Linked DNA regions of Styela clava. The protein of the gene in region 2 binds, or shares a complex with, the protein of the main gene of each other region. Links are inferred from orthologs where the notes say so. Each region holds a gene or a part of one and is shown on either strand. Other genes may lie near its edges. The genes, in order: mitochondrial fission 1 protein-like and B-cell receptor-associated protein 31-like.

What was found.
Region 1: the proteins of B-cell receptor-associated protein 31-like (region 2) and mitochondrial fission 1 protein-like are in contact, whole or in part, in a crystal structure (PDB 8XWX), measured with the Homo sapiens proteins. The link is inferred for Styela clava from reciprocal best matches to the Homo sapiens genes BCAP31 and FIS1. Residues at the interface, in NP_001132913.1 of Homo sapiens: Asp224, Leu227, Glu228, Ala231, Lys232, Ala235; in NP_057152.2 of Homo sapiens: Arg52, Val56, Glu59, Glu60, Pro63, Lys64, Lys89.

What each region holds. Positions count from the first base shown.
Region 1 is NC_135253.1:11,885,047-11,896,229, forward strand, and holds mitochondrial fission 1 protein-like, read right to left. Parts: upstream 2,200-11,183; 5' UTR 2,070-2,199; coding exon 2,059-2,069; intron 1,295-2,058; coding exon 787-1,294; 3' UTR 501-786; downstream 1-500. Other genes in the region: cytoplasmic phosphatidylinositol transfer protein 1-like, read left to right, coding at 3,299-3,346, 3,913-4,061, 8,149-8,234, 9,303-9,310, 10,115-10,210. UniProt on the Homo sapiens protein: Involved in the fragmentation of the mitochondrial network and its perinuclear clustering. Plays a minor role in the recruitment and association of the fission mediator dynamin-related protein 1 (DNM1L) to the mitochondrial surface and mitochondrial fission.
Region 2 is NC_135258.1:14,495,411-14,507,622, reverse strand, and holds B-cell receptor-associated protein 31-like, read right to left. Parts: upstream 4,538-12,212; 5' UTR 4,395-4,537; coding exon 4,303-4,394; intron 3,501-4,302; coding exon 3,400-3,500; intron 2,956-3,399; coding exon 2,805-2,955; intron 2,438-2,804; coding exon 2,335-2,437; intron 2,255-2,334; coding exon 2,140-2,254; intron 1,341-2,139; coding exon 1,201-1,340; 3' UTR 605-1,200; downstream 1-604. Other genes in the region: tRNA (guanine-N(7)-)-methyltransferase-like, read right to left, coding at 5,220-5,954; uncharacterized protein LOC144427174, read right to left, coding at 8,007-8,124, 8,400-8,531, 8,991-9,086, 9,168-9,228, 9,734-9,779, 10,303-10,457, 10,579-10,651, 11,057-11,106 and 2 more. UniProt on the Homo sapiens protein: Functions as a chaperone protein. Is one of the most abundant endoplasmic reticulum (ER) proteins.

The DNA.
Region 1 (11,183 bases), on a different chromosome or scaffold from region 2:
ATTCCTGTTAAACGCTCACAAAAGCCTATACTACTATGTTATATGATTGATGATTTGATGCCTGGTGCTTTGATATTGAGCGAATTTCCATCCAGTGACGAATTCTCTGACTATATAAAGAATGTCGAAACGGCCTTCATTAGTTTGAATTAATTCCAATTTTGTATTGTTATTATAATAATAATGGTCAGTGTGAAGCGATCGTCGCTTAATTTTCCATTAAACAATAGACAATTTTATTAACTTGTTGTTTGTATTGTATGGGTATGCTGTTGGAGGCAAAGAGTAAGGCTTGGTAGCTGGGGTCAAACTTGATACCAAAATAGATGGAGTAGAATTTTTAGTGGCTGAAACTTGATTCAAACTGGCCCTGGTTATAATAAGGTTCAGATAACAAGACTGTGTGATTTTTGTAGTCCTGATAGGTCAAATAGTGCCCTGCATGGCTTCTACCACTGATCTGTGATGTTGAAACTATTAAAAAAACACAAAATCAGCCGAGCAGGATTTCCATAATTTTTACACAAAACTGTACATATAGATTTGATGAATAATAGTTTGCAATAGATTAGGTTAAACATACAATACTTTAATTGCTTCTCACTATTTGTATTTTGTGAGGCAAGATTCTGGTTAGTGAAACAAAAAATACATACTTTTGTGGACCATACCTAGTCATTGTATATTTAAATGGCCACAGTGCGATACAGCAACAATTCATAAGCTTACAAATGTATGTCATAATAAGATCTGAAGAAATTAAATCATTAACAGTCACAAAACACATTATTTCGACCTTGATGCAAGAGCAGCGGCCAAAACACCTAAAGCAGCTACACCCACTCCAACAACAAGACCCGCACCACCTACAATAGCCATTCCAGCCATAGCTTCTTTCTTTTCTGTTTTCTTTATCAATTCTTCAAGTTGTTTTGCTTGGTGATTCTGTGGTTCAACATGTAATATGGCTTTACAGAACTTGAGAGCTTGCTCATAGTTTTTTAGCTTGTAATGTGCAATAGAAATGTAAAATATATAATCCCTTTTAGCGTGATTATCTCCAGTATGATAAAGTTCTTCCAATAATACAACTCCCTTTTTCCAGTCATTTTTATATTGACTACGTACAAGACACCAGGCGTATTCAAACTGAGTTGTTGCTTCTACTTTTCCAATGGCTTCTTCTTTTTTGTATTTTCTTTCAAATTTCATAATATCTTGTGTTGCGATAACTTCATTAATTATCTCTTCCATGGTTGTTGGAAGCTTTGTTTTAAATCTATTACGGTATGTTCTAAAACAAATAAATAAACAAGACAATTTAAAAAACATCAGTCAAACAGAGACAGGAGTAATAGGTCACAAAATACAGGTTTGTTAGAATGTTTTACAACATTATATATATACTATGCAATTCGAGAGTCCTGCTGTACACTAACACAAATGTGTTTCTGCAACGTTTCTTTTGACCAGAATCTGACTTCCTCAGACAAGCAGTTTACAACAACGACGAGAAAAGAACAATCATGCGGTTTAAATAAAGGAGGGATTGGAAGTTAGTCTCTCGCAACCTCTACTGATAACTATATATATACTTAGGTACAACCACCGATTATTTTCTACTTAGTGCAGATCTTGAAAAATATTGAATTATTCAACAAGTAGGCCTATTAAATGACTCCGAAACATTATTATTGAAGTTTCAAATGAAAATTGAATATATGGTCATATTTGAACTGATTTTTAGCTATATTTAAAAAGGGTCAGTTTCATGACTTTGGGTTATAGAAGAAGCCAATATGATTGAATAACTTCAACATGAAACACTACTATCAGATTTTTTCTATTCAAGCCTTATTTTATTTTCGGCACACTTGAAGCATAGTTCAATTACCAATCTAAGTAACAATACCGCCATATCATGCCAACCTATAATGACATCAAAATACTACGTAGTATTCAGATATGTCTATTGTGGGTTTTTTGTTTTTTTGTTATAATTTTTACTTCCCTGTCGAAAATTCCCCTATATTTATTATTAGATACAAATAGGTATACCTTGTTTTCATCGCTTTGGTGTCAACAAAACTGCCAATAAAATCTATCCAAAATTTCTTTCTGATTTGACACACGGATTCCAGAACTCATTTATCCTAATTTCTTCATACCTCCCTATCGAAAGTTAGTAGTCTTTTGACTAAAAATTAGACAAACTCCAATAAATGAATAAACGAGAAACGGTGCGTGGCTCGAGAGTCACAGGCAAACTATCGTCTGGGGAAACCCCGATCCTCACGTGATGTCACGTGTGGGTGATCTTGGGTTCTGTGCAAATTTGGTTTTATTATTTTGACTCGACAACTGACCAGTGGTTGAGTGTTTATATCTGTCAATTATTCAACTATCAGATCCTATCTGGAAGTACATTGTGGTTGGCTTTGTTTAAATTTTCACCAAACCTATTTACTTGATATTTGTGTGAATGAATATGACATTCATATTATATCATTATTTATCGAAATTCGTTCATTGTGGAAAATGTATTTTTACTAGTTGCAAATCCGGTTCAATTCAAGCTCTTTGAATTCATAGAAAACAAGTCTCAGTATTAGCTGATGTGCGCCAATTTGATTTGCAGGTTTTGTGGCATGAGCAAAAAACGAATTGTTTCGGTCTGGTAATTGCCATTTAATCTCTTATCGTGTAGTATACCAATGAGCTGAGTATACTAAATTTAATACACTGTTGTAAAGCTAGCATGATCTGTGTCAAAAATGAAACAAAAAAGAATTTATACTCATCTGATACTGCATAATTGGGTACTGTTGGTGTAAAAATTATTTTTATATGCAATTTGCGAGTAAGGATCAGGCGGACACAGGTAAGTGGTTTGATAAAAAAAAGTGAGTACTGATCCGCTTCAATCTACAATATTATATTACACTACTAAAAACGTCCTAATAAATTTGCTGTGAAGCAATGAATGATATTAAAAATTACTCAAGGCTGTCATAAACAACAACGGAAGGGGGCGCTAGGTAGTAAGTTCGTTCGGAGGGTTTATATTCTCTCGTATTTATTTTCGTCTGAACGTCACGTTTTAATATTTTTTCTCACGCTATTGTAGCTTCTCTCGTTATTGATAAACTTGCGAATGTTGACCTCGGATTTTCATTCGAGTGCACAACTACGATCTGACGATTGCAGCGGATTATTTCAACAGATTGGTGAAGCTTTCTTATAGCAGTATAGCAATAGTTTTATTTGTCGATAACGAACGTATGGTACATGTGGGGTCATGTTATTGAAGGAGTATCGAATATGCATGCCGTTGACCACGGAAGAGGTGAGAAAGCAAACAATTGGCTTTTTTGTGTTTTTTCTTAGTTTTTGTTTGCATCAAGTGTAGACTATGTTCATTTTTGTGAAAAATAAACTGCTAGCTGACTGACTCATTTATTCATTATGAAGCTGAAAGCATATTACTGTATTTTTTATGTAATATTCAGACAGTGCGTCACACTATACAGATCGAGCGACATTGCCTCGTTCCAGGGAAACACATTTTACCTATGATCGGACACCCCTCTTTTTGGGAGGTAAAAATACAGTATAATGAAGTTGCGCAAAATACTACAAAGAAGCGCGATCTAAAAACGTCATCATTGAATTCCTCGGGAAAAAATAATCCGATTTACCAAGGGAAATTTTTACTTTTACGATTACTAGCCTACTTTAGATTATTATTGAGACAAGCATGGCGCGATATGACTCATCTGCCGTCATGTCGGACACTCCTCGTTTGTGAGACACATGGAGTGTTTGTTTCATTGAACCAAATGGAGGGAAAATAGTGTGCCGTACTGTCAGACATCAGTTCCAAAATGTTTTGATCTTTTTCATTATCTGCAGTACCAACGTGGTCAACAATATATGATAAATCGGCATAGTGATGAACAAAGTGAAGCTGGTGAAGGAGTAGAAGTAGTTTGCAATGAGCCACACTATGACGAGGTTTATGGACATGGAAAATATACTGAAAAGAGGATTCATTTAAATTCGTAAGAATTTTTTTTCATAAATTTTTTCAATGCATTATGTATCATCATATATTGAGTGGAAGTGGTGACTCCTCTGCGGCCCATGGGCCGGGGCCACGGCCCATCAGGCTATGGGCCGCGGCCCATCAAGTTGTGTAAAAGGACTATTCACTTGGCTAACACAGACAGTCCCCGAACTCATATTAGAACTATAATGTAAAAAATCTGAATTTTTTTTGTCCTAACCCTAACCTGGTACACATACTACAGGAGTATATTTTTTTGTTCGAATATTGACAGTTTTGTAAAAATTGAAAATTTTGGTAAGATAATTGAAATTTTCCTGATGGGACCGCGGCCCATAGCTTGATGGGCCACGGCCCATGTGGCCCAATTAGATGGGCCGTGGCCCCGACCCATGGGCCGTAGAGGAGTCACCACTCCTGTAGCATATATTTCCCCTTCTACTTGAAAATCAGATTAGACCCCTACTCGAAATTTAGTTCATTTTCTATATTAGCACTAAATTTTGAACATTGAATACAGAAATACCTGATGTCTTTTAAAGTATCTTTACAAAGAAAAAAAAGTTGTAGGAAATAGTGTGGGTTTGAAATTTAATAAAATGAGGTAAGAGAATCATGATGCAAGGATGTTAGAAACATACTGGTTTATTCAAGAGATAACCTGATTTCAATTCGCATATGCAGAAGTAAATTTCATGCGGAAACTGGGGTCTAGTTTAGTTTCGTATCTCAATTACTTCTAGTGGGCGTAGCAAAACAATTTTTTGCATATGTCCATTCTAACCCCACTTTACCGCGTCATCCAAAAGTTAGGTCACTACAACATCACATTGACATAATAAGGCCCTTAATACTATACGAACTGTTATCAAAGACGCGTAAGCAATCACCTGTTTTGCCATCACAACGATCCCAATATGTGAGAGATCACTGCCATTAGTGAATTCTTTATCGTCGGCGCAAATGCCATTTCAGGCGATCGTAGGTATACTTTGGCAACTTCTATGACACGATTGTGACATAATTTTTAAATGTCGTAGTCAGCGGTTATACTATGCCCACTAGGAGAACTTGAGGTAAAAAACTACACGAGACCCACTAACTGTACTACTGTAGTAATTCTGATTTTTAATAAAAAGGTTTATTTCCATTCATCCAACAGTTTTTTGTAAATGGAAAAAGTTTATTTGCATTGACTTGTGATGTAGCATTGATTTTTACTTTGTATTCAGCATTTTTCAAATGTGCTACGCAGGGGTTCTCCTTTTTGTGTTGCGAAGCCCTTGAAAAAGTTGACTAATATTCACGGAGCCCCAAAGTATATGTTAAAATTGTTATTTTCCAAATAATATTCCTGAGTAAGTTAAAAGTACTGTACTTGTTTTAAATGCTTAACCTCTTTTAATAGGGTTAAAACAGGTCATAAATAAATCTAAATGTAAAAGGTAAATTATATATACTAAAGCTGTAAATTTGACACTTGACAAACATATTAATAAATTAGGGGTCGGATCTTTTCCCTTTAAACATTTTTGATAGACTTAAAAGGCCGCTAATAATGTACTCGATTGCATTTTGTTACGATCGCCGATTGTTTTCGTCAGCATGGCGGTGTTTATTCTCCCTAAATCAAAAATTTCCCTCGACATATACATATATTGTTCCACAATGACGACGAGTATTGTTTTTTTGTTCTCGTGGGGACTTATGCGTTCAATGTGAAAAACATGTTACCGTACTATAGTCATCGGACACGAAATGCTAAAAATAATAAATAATAAAAAAGTAAATCTGCAACTCAAATTTCTCGATTGAAAAGCGGCATTCTAAAATATTAAAACTAAAGCTTAAAATGGGAGATAACACTATAAGTTTTGTTTCAGCAGACTCATGTCAGATTAAAAACGCTTTCATAGACATTGTAAATCAAAAATTTGGTGTCATGTTGGGTTTTCTTTGGTTATTCGCGGTAGTAACTGCGAAACCGAAACACAGTCAATTGTGCGCGCGATGTACCTATTTTTCCATTATGAAACTACTGACAGAGTCGCATGCAATGAAATAAATTTCAATTTTTCGTATTTTGCACCGACCTCTTGTTTTTTTTAACGGCGATATCTTGCTCGTGAGTGCAAAAGAACGAAATCAAACTTGACAAATCTCAAGATGGCAAAAATACGACTGCAATTTATGTATAGTTGACAGTTTATCGTGTATTTTATGTTATTTCAGAATAGTATTCTTTCATTTTAGTAATCCTAATAGTAAAATTAGCCAATTCAGTATTTTAAAAAGTAATCGAATAGCTCGCGGAGCCCCTGGGTTTCTCTCGCGGAGCCCTGGGGCTCCATACGGAGCACTTTGAGAACCTATGTGCTAAGGTATAGAATAGTTGAATCAATTATTTAAATTTGTATTCAGGCTTAATTTAGCCATAGGAAATTGAACAGATTGAGATCACTTCTTTGTCTGTCTGATAAAAGGGATTTAGCTGAATAAGTGGCATAATTAAAAGCACAAAAGCCTGTTCTTTGGTTTTTAGTTTTTGTTTCTTTAATTGCTGCAAGGCAGATTTGTATTCTATAATGCAATTATGCCTAATTAAGGCTTAGTTTTCAGTTGAATTTATAGCATTTTGCTATTGTTTTCTTTCTTTTTTGCTGAGTTTTAATTAGGGAAATCCTTAATCTGCATTAATTTTATTTCATTTTTTTTAAATGGAATAAACCAGATTTGTTTTGAAACAAAACTATGGTATACTTGTGCCAAATTTCAAAAATGATCATAAATAAACATTTTAAATAAAAACTATTTTATAAGTAAATTTTTGTCTAAAGTTTCAAAATGTCAAAATATGTAGTAATTTCGGCCTATCATTGCGGTAAATCTAGGCCTTGTGAGTTGCCAAATGTTGTTGACTAAGTAATCCACATCAATAGTTTCCATTAATTCTGTATTAGGTATATTAGCTTTGGCAGTCTGTATCGAAAATTACTAAATAATTAATGATATTTTAATGCATAGAATGTTACAATGTATGCCTGACCAATCCATTTGTGGAAAGCAACGATATTGAAACGTTTGCTATTTTCGTAACTTTGCTTATGCAATAGATATTTCATTACTATTTCCTGTTTTATTCTTCCAAATTTTTTTATTTGAAATTAAAAATAAAGCAATAAAAAACTCGTTTTTATCGTATTTTTTCTTGAATCAATCTTCTGGATCGATCCATTTTAGCTATGTCTCTTCTATGTATGTGCTCGAATGACAATGACTGTGCAGAACTATTTTTGGCATGACTTTTTGAAAGTTTTCTTTTGTGGAACAAAAATACTTCAGAGCTCTCAGCTCTCTAATTTAATTTCCAACGATCAAGAAAATGCATAATCTATCGAATGCTATCTATCACTTGTTGTAAATTTTCTGCTCAAATGTAAAATCCTCACTCAATCATTAAATCCCCCAAGAGGTCAAAAACAATTTGGATTAGTCTGTAGTTATTGCATTGAAATCAAATGTCACAAGATTTTTAGTTCAAATTCAAGATTATTGCAATCTATTACATGTATCATGATCCTGATACTCGAATTATTGTTTTTTATGAAACTCTTTGTTTTTATGTCTCATGTTATAAACCTCAGTTGAATTTCTGTCCTGTGTGTTGTAATTTTTGTATGATCGCAAAATATGAATTAAATTATTTTATCTTTTATCTTTTGAAGTTTGTACCAGGTTAGGGTTAGGGTATAATTTCAGGTACAAATTCCTTTGGGAGTCGCTTGGCTAGTCCCCGAACTCGTAAGTCGTAATAGAACTAAAATAAGGAAAATTTGATTAAAATTATGACCTAATCCTAACATACTACGTTCCGGTGTCCTCCATCGGTTTACATACTTCGGGAATACCTTTAATAAAGTATCAGAAGACCTCCTTATTTGCATATTAACATCAATAATCACTATTGACAAAATCCTGGGATTTCGAACTAGACATTACACTACTTATTCCAAGAATGATGTGCACTTAATTTTTTATAAGCACAGCCGCGATCAATTCTAAAAATATTATTATAATTTTAGACGCCTTCCTTCCTGGGCGCGAGCTGTCACGCCCTCAATATATGTCACAGAAAAAGCATGGAATTATTATCCCTACACTGTCACAGGTATGCAAATTCTTTCCAGTATCATGTATTTTGATCGTCAATTTATTTCAATCAAACTAATATAATACTTGAATTAGGTTTATAAATTTATATTATCTATTTTATAAGAGAACCTCATCTTGTCACCCAAACGAACTTGAAATTGCGGAATTATATGACCTCGATTGAAAAAATCTTGTGAACTAGCATATATTCAAGTGCTGCAACAGCATCAACCATTTAATAATTAATCTGATGTCAAAAATAACTAAAGTGAAAGTATATACTGTTTGTTTGTCTATTAAATTTAAACTTTGTACTTATTTACTGTTAAGGAAAAATGTTTGCGCGTACACACTTAAATAATCCTAGCATTTGTGTTTGTTGTTTTCACCAGCATAGCCCTTTCAGTAAACTCAATAGTTAGGAGTTATATATACATTGGCATGTTTTCATAACAAATTGAATAAAATCGGTGTGAAATGTAATAAACTAGCTTGCAATTAGGCTACCTAAATCACAGTAGGAGATGCTGTTCCAGGAAATGTAACATCTGTTTTTCATGCTTGAAAAATAATTTGAAATCTCAGAATAAAATGACAATGCCTGAAACTCATTTCCATGAACTACTCAGCATTCCAACGGACAAATTTTTTTTCTAAAATTAGCAAGCATTAGTGCTGGAAGCGATTGGATGACTGATGTTAACAATTCCGATGGGAATTATATATTCGCACCATACCTGTTAAAAGCCAATAATAATAGAGCTGATAGACATTGAAGTAATGAGATTACCACCACCAATAATTCCTTTGAGAATTAAATGAGGTTCATTTGTACAGATAAATGCTTTTATGAAATATGCCAATTTTACTTCATAGTAGGCTATATATAAAATAGCCATTAATCATACATAGTCTATAACAAATTTGTCTGCTTGCATGTTTTATGTTTTTTAGTTTCCTCAATCATTTTGAAATTTAAAGCTGTTGATATTTTTTCAACATTTCTCCTTGTTAATAAATTTATTAATATTAAATGTTATTGAAATTTTGTTTTTCCTTTTCATGACCATGCTGATGAAAACAGAATATTCAGTAAGTAACATTTTATATATTTAAAAAAAATTTATTGCCTTGAAACTACATTTTCAATTTTTATATGACTGCTCATAAAGCGTAAAGGTAAAACTAAGATTTATTATATGTGGTTCTGCTAATACTGATATATTTTATTAGATGAAATTGGAAATGATGAAAGATTTTGATTTTCAAATATCAAGACATTCGTCACGGATCATTTATGATTAGTTACACTTTTTTCGGTCTGCTGAATTTACATTTAGAGAGTGTGGTTGGCTCAAATTCAATTCTTTGGCAGAAATATATTATTTAATGATCTGTGTTTCATGTTACATAAGCATTGACCTTCAACATAAAAATGTTATTTATCACCATCAACTAAAAAAAATTCACAACTTACAAATTTGTATTATGAAAACAATTTCAAGCATAAATTATCAAGCTTTTTCAAAAACATGTAATTTTATTCTATATTATGTTATTATCCACTTTCTATAATCAAATAGGTCAATAGGGTGAAAAAGTCTAATTAGGGTCAAAATATCTAATTAGGGTCGAAATTAATAATCATCTATCATATTTATAAATTTTTATAGGGTATATAAATTCAGTTGCTTCAACTTTAATTCAATGTGTCATACCTGGGTAAATTTCAATTATCTCATTGTGGCCTAATTACATGTATAAAAACAATCTTACATACTTGACGACAGTTAAGTCGTCAAGTATGTTTATATTATAGAGTATAGAGTAAAAATTATATTTAGGTATGTAATAATGGTTATGTAAACTGATCGCTATCCACTTTTGCTATTTTAGTGCCATTTTCTCCCAAGACTAACTGTATTTATTGAGACACGATACGAAGATAACAATGGAAAATCTGCCTCAAGTAATTCAGCAAAATTTTATAAGGTAATGGAAATTTTCCTATCAATTGGGTTTCTATGGGGTGAACGTTTTATACCTCTATGCTTTTGGTTGATCCTTATGCATGTAATGCAAGGAAGTCGTAGCACTGCATGCTAAAACAAATACATTTCTGTTATGTTTCAACTTTGAATTATGTATGCCAGAACAAGTCCGACCTTTGTCAGATGAAAAATGTTACAGGAATATATTTGTATCTGTGTGAAGCAATACTCCTGAACCCTTTTAATGGTAACTGGTCATTGCATTTTCATTCTTGATTTAAACATTCAAATTATTTTCCCCATTAATCTGTTTAGTCCCTGTCAGTAAGCCTATAAGACGAATGCCTTATACTGTCCTGACATTTATTAACGTCACAGAAACTTCAGTTTCCAAACTGCGACTACCTTTGACGTACGTATTATTTGTTATGTGGAATTTTTTGGGTATTTTGACTTTTCTCGTTTTTACGTCAATTTTAAACTCAGATCATGATACTAATGAATTTGTTGTTGTTTTGTTGCGCTATTTTTCCATTAATCCGAAAATGTCAGCATATCTATGTTTTGTTTACGATAAATTAAAGCTTAGTTAATCCGACATGAGTGGAAAGAAATGTAATCCATCCTAGACTATTCCTAAACTTTCCACATATTTTATTTTGACTTACTAATATAGATTTTTCAATTATCATAGTGGTTGTCGTAAAGCCAAATTAAAAAAATTTTATGATTGTAATTGCTTTATAAGAATTGATAATAAAAATGTATTGTTTTTAAAAATGGTGTTTCATTTAAAAATTTATAACACAAACAGATAAGTTTTTGAATCTATTATTTACATTCAGTTAACACTGAAGACAATTAAAAATCTAAGTGATATGTCTTACTATTCATAGCCTTAAATAAACATAATTTTCCCATTATTTTGTGCATCAATAAAGCTTAAAGTCAGGAACAAAGCAATCTAGACACAG
Region 2 (12,212 bases):
ATTCCAATTGTGTGATTATATAACTTTATCAGTAATATGTCCCTTGTCCTGCAGGAGTTATGTGGTTGGAATAATTGGTTATATCCGATGTAGCTATGGTTAGATCTTGATTTTCGGGGTTATTGTAGTGTAAGGTATTAAATGTTGAGCATTTGTTATTCAACTTCTGTTACTATGAAGTCAATATTTGTTTCGAATAGCAACCTAGTGATTATCAAATTATTAGGTATAACCATCCATGATGACACTGCTGGTCCAAACCCATCTCCGCAGCGTAATTAATTGGGTCGGCTGCACCGAAACTGGAAGATTCTTCCAAACCATATTACATAGTTAGTGCTCGTTTCTGCAATGACCATGAACCATTTCAGAATTTTTACTCGAATTGGATTTACATATTTATCCGGGGGGAAAGCATATGGGGTATTTCTCTCCTCTAGTACATGTTGCTATGGGGTTTGTTCGCCAGTTATTCGTTTCAGATGACTTGACAACGGCTGGCGAGGGGTCCAGCAATCCTCTTGCACACAATTAGCCCCACAGGATCCCATTCCCCTCAACGTAAATTTAAATACTAACAAACGATTCAGCACCACAAAAAATGTCGCAAATTTACTTCATATAATATAGTGAAGGCAGTTCTTTTATTCAGCTTATGTACATCAATGAACAATATAGATACTACATTAAATCCCACAGACAATGATATATATCAGTTTCAGGCTATTATAAACATTAGCTCATTCACGTAAAATCAGAAGATATTATGAACATAATACACATGCATGCAAGTTACTCAAAAGCACAACATCAGCAAATAGCTATTTATAACAGCAATATATGAGCAAGATATTATAATGAAGTGCACTACAGCTCATATGCAGACTGTAAAGTGAAAACTTCTCCATATGAATATTTGGTTAGAATGATATAATAGCGAATGTCCATGGATGACCAATGAAACATTCTGAAAAACTTTTGTAGATAATATGTTGGGATTCACACCAATTTATATCCTTTTTTTTTTTCAGTAGATACCCATATAAGAGTCTCATATTTTTTTCTCCACAGTATGATATACAATTTATTATATACTAAAATGTCCTTAATTCTTAAGTAAGTTTTCTGATTGCATCAGAGCAAGCAATATTGAATCAGAAAGTACCGCAAAATCATGCATTGGTAAGCTTGCAAATCACTTCATTCATCTTTTTTATCTCCACTGCCTTCAACTTGATTCTGCAGTTCAGTGAACTTCTCCATTAGATTGTCATACTCTCTCGTAACACCTTCAGCTTGTTGTTTCATTGCATTCAAGTCATTCTGTGCTTTCGTTTCAGCTAAATACAAAAGTACCAGAAAATTATTATGGTATATGTAGGTTAATAAACATCAACACACTTTTTATCAGTGGCAAAAGGAACTATTAACATGGTAAGATAAGAGAAAAATAGATTGAGAACAACGCAATCTTTTGAAAAGATGCTGCATCGACTAGGTCAGGGTGGTCCAAACCTAGGCCCACACCTTCATTATCTCTGGCCCGCGTCGAATTCGATGAGTAATTAAAAAATCGCATTTGGTGTTGTTTCGTCATAAAATTAACGAGAAAAATCTTTTGACATATTATTGTTACATCACTAATGTCACTGAATTGACTAGTGGTATGGCTAACTGCGGCAAGTTGAATGATGTGCTTGGCAGCCCAAATTCTTATCTGGCTTTTTATCTTTTTGGTCGAAAATATATGCTAACAATTTTGGCATCATAGAAAACTAAAAATCGAATGTGGATTCTATCGGCTTATGTTGGCTATGCCTGATAACTAATTATTAATGTTATGGCCAAACAACTCTGTGGTTTTTGATCTTGATAAATAACATACTTATCAATGTGTTTTCACAATAAAAGTGTTTATTCTGTGTTGCACTGTTTACCTATTCTTGGCACTATTGTGGTCCACGAACAATGCCAAATTAATTTTGTGGCCACTGGAGCCGACAACATTGCACCGCCCTGGACTAGGTAATGGGTGAGCGAATTGTCACAATTTTGTAATGACACCCCAAATTTTTTTTTACAATTATTGAAAAGTATTGACTTTAATTATTGAGATTGTGCAATTTAGTAAAATCAAACCTTTTCTAGCATCAGATAATTTTTCTTTCACTTCATCAAGTTCCTTCTTTAGCTCTTCTACATCTACCGCATCAACATCACTGCCATCTTTGTTTTCCTTGGATTTCAGCAACGCCTGTAAACAAATAACGCATACAAATTTAAACATTCTCTTTACCTTGTGGACGCAAATATATTGATATCTAAAGTGTTTACCTCTGCAGCTTTGCTTGCGCTTTCAGCTTGCTTTTTAATTGCTTCGTTACTTGCTATAAGTGTAGCAGAGTCAGAAATTAATGTAGTGAGACGACGAAGAACCCTTGAAAGAATATAAGTGAAATATAACAACTAGATTCAACTTAGTGAATTAGGTAGTCAGTGAGTTTTAGGTTACACTCATTTGGGTGAGCTTAGATGGTGTGATAGCCTAGCGCGGCTTTCCCAAACTGTGTTTCGCGAGCGTCTTCCCAGTGTTCCATGGAAAAAGAAATCTAAATTGGTCGCCATAGCGATCTAGGGATCATGAAGTTGAATTATCAAGTACATAAATTATGAAATTTCTCTAACATAAACATAGAAAATCAATGCATTTTACTTTGTCGAAATAATATCATAAATTTTTTTATGGACGGTCACAGTACCTTGTAAATTGTCAAAAACATACCAAATAGGAATAGGTTACTTACACCAGCATGAACAAAGCAAAACCAGTGATGTACAAATTTCTCTGAGCTCTGAATAGCATCATCAACACATGATCCTGTGCATTAGGATTATTTTTGAGATCCACTTGTTGAGCATTTGGAATAGAGTACTTTCGCACTTCACGTATAGCATCTACAAAATTATTCAACGTTTTGTAGGTTACAAAAGTATCAATCAAAGTTGCATTGATTTGAACCAATATATTACAGAATATATACATCTGATATTACAAAACTAGGTCCACTTGTCAACCAATGGTTTTTTTTCTAGGAATTGTTAATTTGAGCAAAATAACTTGCTTATTTTTGTTAGAGGTCATTTTTTTTGATCACATTGAAATAGATTGTTTTTAAGAGAATCAATCTTTTAATAAGTTGTGAATATCTTGCATTTTCCTTGATATAGTGCCATTATTTCGAGATTTTTGATTGAACTGAATATTAAAAAATAGCTTCAAAATATACAGTTTATAGATATACCCAAGCAACTTTTGTTGTTATATAGATGTAATGAATATCTAGATATATTGATATCAGTATGTTCAATATTACAATAACAGATCATTATTAACCATACCTGCAAAAAGTAACACCAATACCGCAATGAACACTCCAAAATACAGGTTACCATATGTCACAAAAAATGCTAGCAGACGAGATTTGAAAACATACTGCCATCTGCAAAAATATAGCAAAATGATAAAAGTGGAGCATTAAAATAAAATGGTTGACATTATCAATTCAGTGTAACAGAATTAAGTGTCCATTTTAATTTACAAGCTAGTGTAAATATTCAAAATATGAGTAAAACATATTCCATGTTTGCAAAACGTAACATTTGATCAGCATATTACACAGACAGTCTTGACAACTGACATTGACATACATCCTAATCATTTGAATCAATGAAAGTTTACTGGGCCAAGAAATTGACTGTTCAATTAAAAATACTCAAGTGTCGTGATTTGTGGTTTTTTACATACCCATTTTGAATAACAGAATGACTATAAAGAAATCACTCCTATAATGATAATCATTTGGACTAATGGCATTGTAACATGCAGTAAAACCAAAGAAGCTTATGTCACATACTTCAGAAATGGACGTTTTTAAATTTATATCGATATGAACCAGGTGGGAGGAGTCATCATTGGGTCCGGTTTTAGTCTTGTTTTCAGGTGGTGCCTTATTTTGGGGTTAGATTTTAAAACCTCATAGACTTTTTTGATTTTTTGGGTTAGGTTTTTCTCAAAATCTTAAAATGGCTAGGTCCACTGCAGCAATACAGTTGTTATTAAATATGCTCAATCCATTGCAAATAATTGCCATTAAAAAGTGATTGACAAAATATAGTTTGCAGATACGAAATATAGGATTAAGATTAAGTCGCGAATCTAGATACCGCAAGTCCCAAGCTCAATGCATACAACTGTCTAGAACTAGAAATGATACTGTAAAAATGAATCATAAGAAATCTTACCTCTTTGGTTGAATAAATGGTAGACATAATAACACACACAATCCTATTTCAGAGTATAAGAAAAACGACACAACTAACCATTGAAACGTCATATTGGTGAATAAACAATTTTATAAATATATATCTAAAACTATCTATGAGTTATACAGTTACTTCCTGGAAAATAAGCGAATTGGATAATAGAAACAAAAATTTGAGTGAAGTAATCTTAAAGCATGTAACACGTGGTGAAATATATTGGTATTATACCCATACCACCACTCAATTTCAGGAAAAGGCACAATGGTTGGAATGTTTGAAATGCTTTATCAATCTAAATAAAAATCCTTTGTTAATGTAGGTTGATCCTTAAATTGCAAACAAAGCAATTCTTATACCACACAACTAAATCAAATGCTGAGTATGGAAGAATGATATGGTAGATGGAACATGCTTATTTGGCATGTATTTATTCCCATTCTGTACTGTCACTTTGTTAATTAAAACATGCTGTACAGTTAGTAAGCAAGTCAACTTAAATCCTATTAATGGATATCATTAATTGTTCATGGAACTACATCTTGATCCTTGTAATTGGATTGCTACTTTTCCCAAAATGTACACCACCATAAAATGATGTTAAGAAACGTGTTTTACATGCAAATTATAGCCCTCACATTGCGAAAAATTGAAAAATTTACTATTCCCTAGTATATCAGAATGGATGGACAAAAAGTTGCCATGCCAAATAGAGGACAACTTGAAACTGAGGGGAAACCTAGAGATTTTCTTTAAGCAAATCCCAAAATATCTTCGATTTCTAACCTTGAATTTGTGCCTACAAATCGTTACACACGACTATTCAAAAATGGAATTTGATTAAAAACAGTAATGGAATAAAAAAAATTGGCAGCACAAATGATGTAGTAACAACAAGATCAGCTCTTGTTAGAAATTCTGACAAAAACTGCTGGGAATTTATCTCCTGAATTTCTTTCAACTTTTTGTCCTTCTTCTGTCGAGTTGAAAGTTGCCTTGTAACATTCATCATTTTGCAATTTTTCTTCGCCAACTCTTTCAAACAGTGGATGTTGGGTGAAGTGTTGAACCATCCAATCGTGAACCTCTTCAACATCAGTTATTGTGTAAACTTTACCTCCAACATCGAGAACATAGGCATATTCTGCTAACAATGTAGGACTAATTATTCTCCATTTATGCTTTTGTTTCTTGAAATGTGGGTCAGGAAAAAGAAAAAACATTTTTCGAATTTGACCCTTTGAAAAAAAATTTGGCAAATGTTTCATCGCATTGGTACGAATACATGCTATGTTTTGGAAATCTTTAGATCCTTTATCGATCGATGTTTTTCGAAGAGCTTTTATTCTGTCTTGGACATAATCTGAAACTTTAACACGTATTTCCATTCCAAGCATTAAAGTATTTGGTAATAAAGGGGATAGTTTGATCAGCAGCCCACCGTATCCACATCCAATATCTACCACTTCAACCTTATACTTGTTATTTTCATTGGCTTCATTGCAATACTCTGGGTAAATACTCGACCAATCCATGTCTTGCGGTCTAACCGGGTATTGAAAATTATGGTCCCCAAGTGGATTGGAGTGAGCTCTCTGACGATAATACTTTTTTCGTGGCAGCTTTGTATCCATAGTCCAAAAAGATGTACGAATCGTTCTACATCAAACTATATACTTACCGTAATGGTATTTGCTAGAATAAAAACAATTTTTCATTTGTTTCAGTATTAAACCTGTTTATTTTCTATAAATTTTATAGAAGTTGTCAATACTTTAATAAAGCAGTACTGGAACAGGAATATACCGATAAGTAAATGTAATTTAAACGCATATAATTTTAATTCCATGCAATACAAAATAATCTTATGATATTGTGATGATATATACTACAATTGCACTATGCCATACAAATAATGTAGAGTATTATTTATTAGGAAAACTGTCAGATTGATGGTTTTCTACTGTGTAATTCAAAGTTGGGTATACTTCGGAGAGACAGAATTTTTGATTCGGCAAACGAAAAAACACGATAATAAAGGAATAAGGACTCGAAAGTCCAATTTTACATAAGCACACAAGAACTAGGGAGAAAGAAATGGCCAAGCATTTTATATGGAACTACATTCAGACATTGCACCTCTCTTTTGCCACAGCACTCAGGTGGGCTTTTATTCAAACCAAACTGTTCAATGACCTTAATAATTTATTACTATTTCCCGATTTCTGACACTGTTTTCTTCACCTAAGACTGTGAGACACTACAGCACTAATTTGCACTTGTTCATCTCAATCAAGTTATTGGTTTCCTTTAAATGCAGAAATGTCAGGATGTGGGTGGTGTAAACAAATCCCAGACGATAAACACAGCCCAATCATATTCAATTTGATGTATACAATTTTAAATTGGAATCCACCATGTCTGCAGTGTACACCTGTACACTGGAACATATATATTTTGGAACCATAGAGGTCTTGCCGGCTCTCCCAGTTCACTGTTTTGTTCTGTGTGTGCTTTTTTCGGGGAAATCAAAATAAAACGCACAACTCAACACAAATTTTTTCTGATTGCGATATTAACATTTTCCTTCAGCTACACTTTGTTTCAGCCTCTTGCTTGTTCACAGGTAAATAAAGAAATTATCACGAACTGCGAGAAACAACAACCGGCTTTTGATAAAGCAATATCGCCTGGCCCAGTTTAGAAGCTGCTTTCCAAAGATACGGTTTTATAATACTATCATATACCCATACCCAACGAAGGACACGTTGATTTGTTCGGCGGGTCATGTGAATAATTTGCTGGCCATCATATACATATTCTTTGATGTCAATTTAATTGATGTCAAGCGAATTATTTGAAATGATGACAAAACATCACAAGACAAATAGGTACATACCTACCTATATCCTTATACGCACCGCGTTTGTGGCATAACCATAATAAAACTGCGCACTGTGAGCACCATAAGAAAACAAACCAGCATGGATCTGTACCGAACGGGTGCAAAGTGTAAACAACTTTTTACACGCCGACAGCTAAAAGAAGTGACGTGAAATACTCCAACAAAATTTGGGAAACGTTTATAACGTACAAAATTTTATCGAAAAAAGTTTCCAAACCAAGTGGCATAAACACTTCTAGAAATGTGAAACTGCTCAATGCTTTTCCGGTAGCGGCAACTTCGAGATCGATTTTTACTGGTTGGAAAAGATTAAAGTTCGTCCTTGGCTCTATTTTTACGTAAAACAGTCCCGAACTACGAGGCGTGTCACAGATGCAGCGCTACCCGCAACATTAAGAATAGGAAGGTATTTGCGCGAACTTACATAAATTGACGTAAAAGAATAACTAATTCAGAATGCAGTACAACCCCTTCTTCTGGAAAAGAACACAAATTCTCAGAAATATTCGAAATTTTAATGAACTAAAACAAAAACCACATAAACAAGCTTTATAATAATGAATTGTACCCCAAGTGACATGTTGAATTTATTTTAATTCAATACTGGTTGATGCTCAACAGTTGTCAGCATACCTTTCATACTCTCCCTTGTCAGCAGATCATACCCACTCATGATTGGTGTGCAATGAATCTGTCAGAAAATCGGCAATCACATTCTAATAACAGAACTCGAATCTTATTAGGCCTCAAGATATTATGACTACATGCACTATTCATTCGATCAAGGCAAGATATTATTTCCTGCATATGCTACTTGAATAAGTTCTTCTCTATATTCAAGTGAGAGATTTTCCTCTATTAGAGCATTTAATGTCTTCTTTTTTGTCAAGTGTTGTCGCCTAAAAATGAACGCATTCATTATGACTACTGTGTAAGCGAAACAACAGTTCCAAAAGTTCAAAGAAGCATGCATCATTTATAGAATATATGATGAAATTCAGAGGATTTATTCCGAAGTATGAACCTGATTTTAGGAATTTTTTGTTCATATGTTTAAAAGAAGAAATGTTTTAATTTCACTAGATTCAACAAACGCCAGTTTCATCTCGGAAACTTGTATTCTAGAGACTTTGCAGAAAATGCTTCGAAAATAATTATTATTTCAGGAACAGACCTTTTCATAAGTCTTACAACATCTTCAGATGAAATTATTTTCTTATTTTTCCTATGACAGATTTCTTCCAAGTCATTCATAGTATTCTCAAAATATTGCCGAGAAACATCTTCTATTTCCTCAAATGCTTCCCTGAAGTAAAATTAAGTAGATGCCTCAAACACGTTCGACAGCCTTATTGAAAGAACTCAAAAAAGTTTCTTTAACTTTAAATTGTTATCTTAGTCATCAAATGTAAGTTTACAAGTAATTTGACGCCAGAAACATATTTATTTAGAAAATTGGACATGAACATCCAATAGCAAACTCCAGTAGCAGTAACCTATGCAACTCATGCAGAAATATGGCTGATCACAAAATTGGCAAATTTAAAAAGGAGTACAGCCATGAAAAATAGTGTTAATATGAATTAAAATGAAACAGAGAAATATTGGATATCATAGAACTCTGATATCAATTGGTCCATTAGTTCAAGAAAAGCAATTTTTTCGCTCCAAAAAAGTCACCCTAACAACAACGCTTCAGCAAAAAGACCCATATGGCCATTTTGTGTCCTATAAAGAATTGCATGAAAGAATAAAACATATATACTTAGAAATCTTCAAAGTGGAGTAGTGTTGTACAATCCCAGCAAGCTGTGATCTGGGGAATGGAAGTTTGTTGAGTAGTTTTCGCTTTTTTGCATTCCTAAAAATGAATATTACCATTTAAAATTACTGTAGATTTAATTAAAATATTAAAAATAAAACAAACATATAATTTTCATACTTCTTTTCACGAGATATCAGCTTGTGTGATGTTACTCCAACTGATGCCTCTTTGCTTGTATCTTGATATAAATAGGTTAAAGCATAAAAGTAATAGTTTTGGAGAAGCCAGTTCAAATTTTGATATGACCTTCAACCAGTGTTTCCCAGAACATAACTGTTCCGCTGGACTGGGACCGAAATCGTGACCAAATTGGTCATCATGGCGATTTCGGCAGTACTTCGTCGCCTCTGGGTCATAAATTTGTCTCTCAACTCTCACCGATAACGTTTATTATCGTTAACCCTCGGCCTAATTTCTTATCTGTCAAGTTTACAGAAATCTTTACCATGGGCTAAATTTTTTGAAAACCAATAAATTTTACCTTCTAATTTCTCGGTGTTCCGCAAGGCTAGCTAAAAGCAGTACTAGGTGTTTCAGGGCAAAAAAAAATTTGAGAAACGCTGCTTTAAACCATTAAATCATATATTATTGACTTTTAAGTTAGGGAAAAGTTTATTGTAAGTTTTTGCGAATTCACAACTGTAATTATATTTTCCAGTTTATGTATATTACGTAACAAATACCTGCATTTTGTTCATTTTCAATGACCACTGGAACAGTTTGGTGATGCTGAAAAGTAAATGATATACTAGCAATAGACAAAGATGAAATTGACTAGTTCCAACCAATTTGGAAGTCATCATGGAATAAATTCACATAAAATATTTATGAGGTGGGTAGACATGTAAAGGTTCAACCACAAGGCACAAGACAAAATTCATAAGTTGACAGTTTTTATTGGTTCCAAACACATGTCACAAAATAGCTTGGTTGGACACTTTTATACATCTTTGCTGAATGATATTAAAGAAAATAAGAAGATAAAGATAGGCACATGAGAAGTTTTAGTCAATACGTTTAGGACAAATGACCATAAAGATATGAAAGAACAAATTTCATTGTAAGGTTTGAAGCATTTTCCGTACAACTGTGGATGAATCTTGTGATTATGGGTAGTTCCATCATTTTTACTAGAATAAACACAGAAAAAACTAAAAGCCCGTAACGAGCACAAGCAAGTTTGCAATCCACTGAAGCACCTAATTCCATGCAGCCCACAGAGCTATTGTGTAAGCAACAGTAAAACACATACCACACTTTGACGCCTGCGAAGATTTGATGTTGAAGATGTATCCACAGGCTTCTCATCAGTAATAATATCATTAGGTGCATGGTCATTCGGAAAGCGTTGATTTTTGAAAGCTGAACCATTGCTATGTGGACTGGGCACTTGTGATGTATCCGTTTCTGGGGGAAAAAAACACAAATTTTTTTATTTTTCATTGGGTAAAATTTGCACTAGAGATCAGACTGATCTGAATACAGAAGAGTCAAATATATATTATTATAGAATACAAAGTCTTCGTACCATTAAAGATTCTGCTCAATTCTAAGGGTCCTTCAATCTCATTATCTGAATTTTCTATTGTTGAAGTAACAATCTACAAAAGAAGATATATGATCTTTTATATTTACATGAAGCAAATCCGTCAAATAAGAGTGGAAATAAAAATATGGTATGGCCAGAATTATTGTAACAATCAAGAAGACAAAGAACTGGCAGACAAGGCTGGCGAAACCAGAAAATAAATTTTTTAACACCATTCGCTTAGGTCCAGGCAGCATTGCAAAATCATTACAAGCTTGAGCGATATTTAGTATTTGAATAGATTCTGGACAATATGAACCACTGTGTTGTGCAACGAAAAAAATTTCCATGTAATTGTTTTGATACATATACAATATACATATATATGATAAAAGATGGGTAAAGAGTTAGTGCAACATATGTGTCCACAAAAATAAAAATCATATGCTGGTACACATTATAAATATAAATTTATAACCTCTTTATCAGGTAAAATATGATCATCTGGTGTTCCTTCATTTGGATTCTCTGAAAAAAAAAATAAAATTCGAGTGACACACTGACTGATAATGTGTGTATATATATATATCAAATTCAAAATTTTGAATTCACAAGCATTACATACAAGACACGAACACACTTGTCATCATCGTACTAATAACTCATGTTACGAATTCCATATTAGATAATTTTTTTGGCAGGATTTCTCGCCTTCGCGGGGCGTGTTGGAATCGCAGGTTAAGCATTTCTGATTCGAATCTCAAGCCCACCCCGTCACCCAGAGTGAAATAAAACCCAGTCCTTCCACATATATCGTGGCTATTTGTACAGAGTCTTGTTCAGAGCTAACAACAACAAAAAAAGTGTTTTTTAAAACAAAAAAGGATGTTGTACAAAACTACTTTTTATTTCTCACCTATTACTGTGGTGTGTGATGAAAAATGTGATGGAAATTTCTCTTCTTCTTTTTCAGATTTTACATGATTTGTGGGTATAATACTCTCATTTAAAAAATATGTGTCAGTCGTTGCATCCTTACGAGCTGGCTCGAAGAAACTAGAGCATAAAATAGAAAACAAAAAAATGATAAATATATACATAGAGTTCATAAAGTCATAAAATGTTTTAAAGTGCAAAGAGAATTTATTAATACTATATATTATAGTTTATTGGACCCCACAGGTGTGTTAAATATAATAAAAAAAAATTATATAAACACTGATTATAAACAAAACAAACCTGGTTAGAGAGAGTTAATCACAGCAAATTGAAAATTGTAACAGGACTTCATTAAAACCACCTTATTAACATCGTTGAAGAGTAAACCAGAAATCTTGTAGTGCTTTACCTCGTTATACGTGTTGAGCTTAGCAAAGGAGTAGAATATATATTTTGTTTTTTATTAGAAACAGATTTTGAAACATCTTTTGGACTCGCTGCCTCAGCTTCTTTGTTTTTGTTTATAAGAGCTTGTACTTTTGACATCAAATCTTGAGAGAAAGATGTAGATTCAGCATTGGCTGCTACTTTCGATAGATTTATATCCGAGAGTCTGAAAAAAGGAGTTGTTCTGCAATTTGAAGTATACGAGATATGTTCTGGTAAATTTGATTCTGGCTTAGGAATTTCGGATA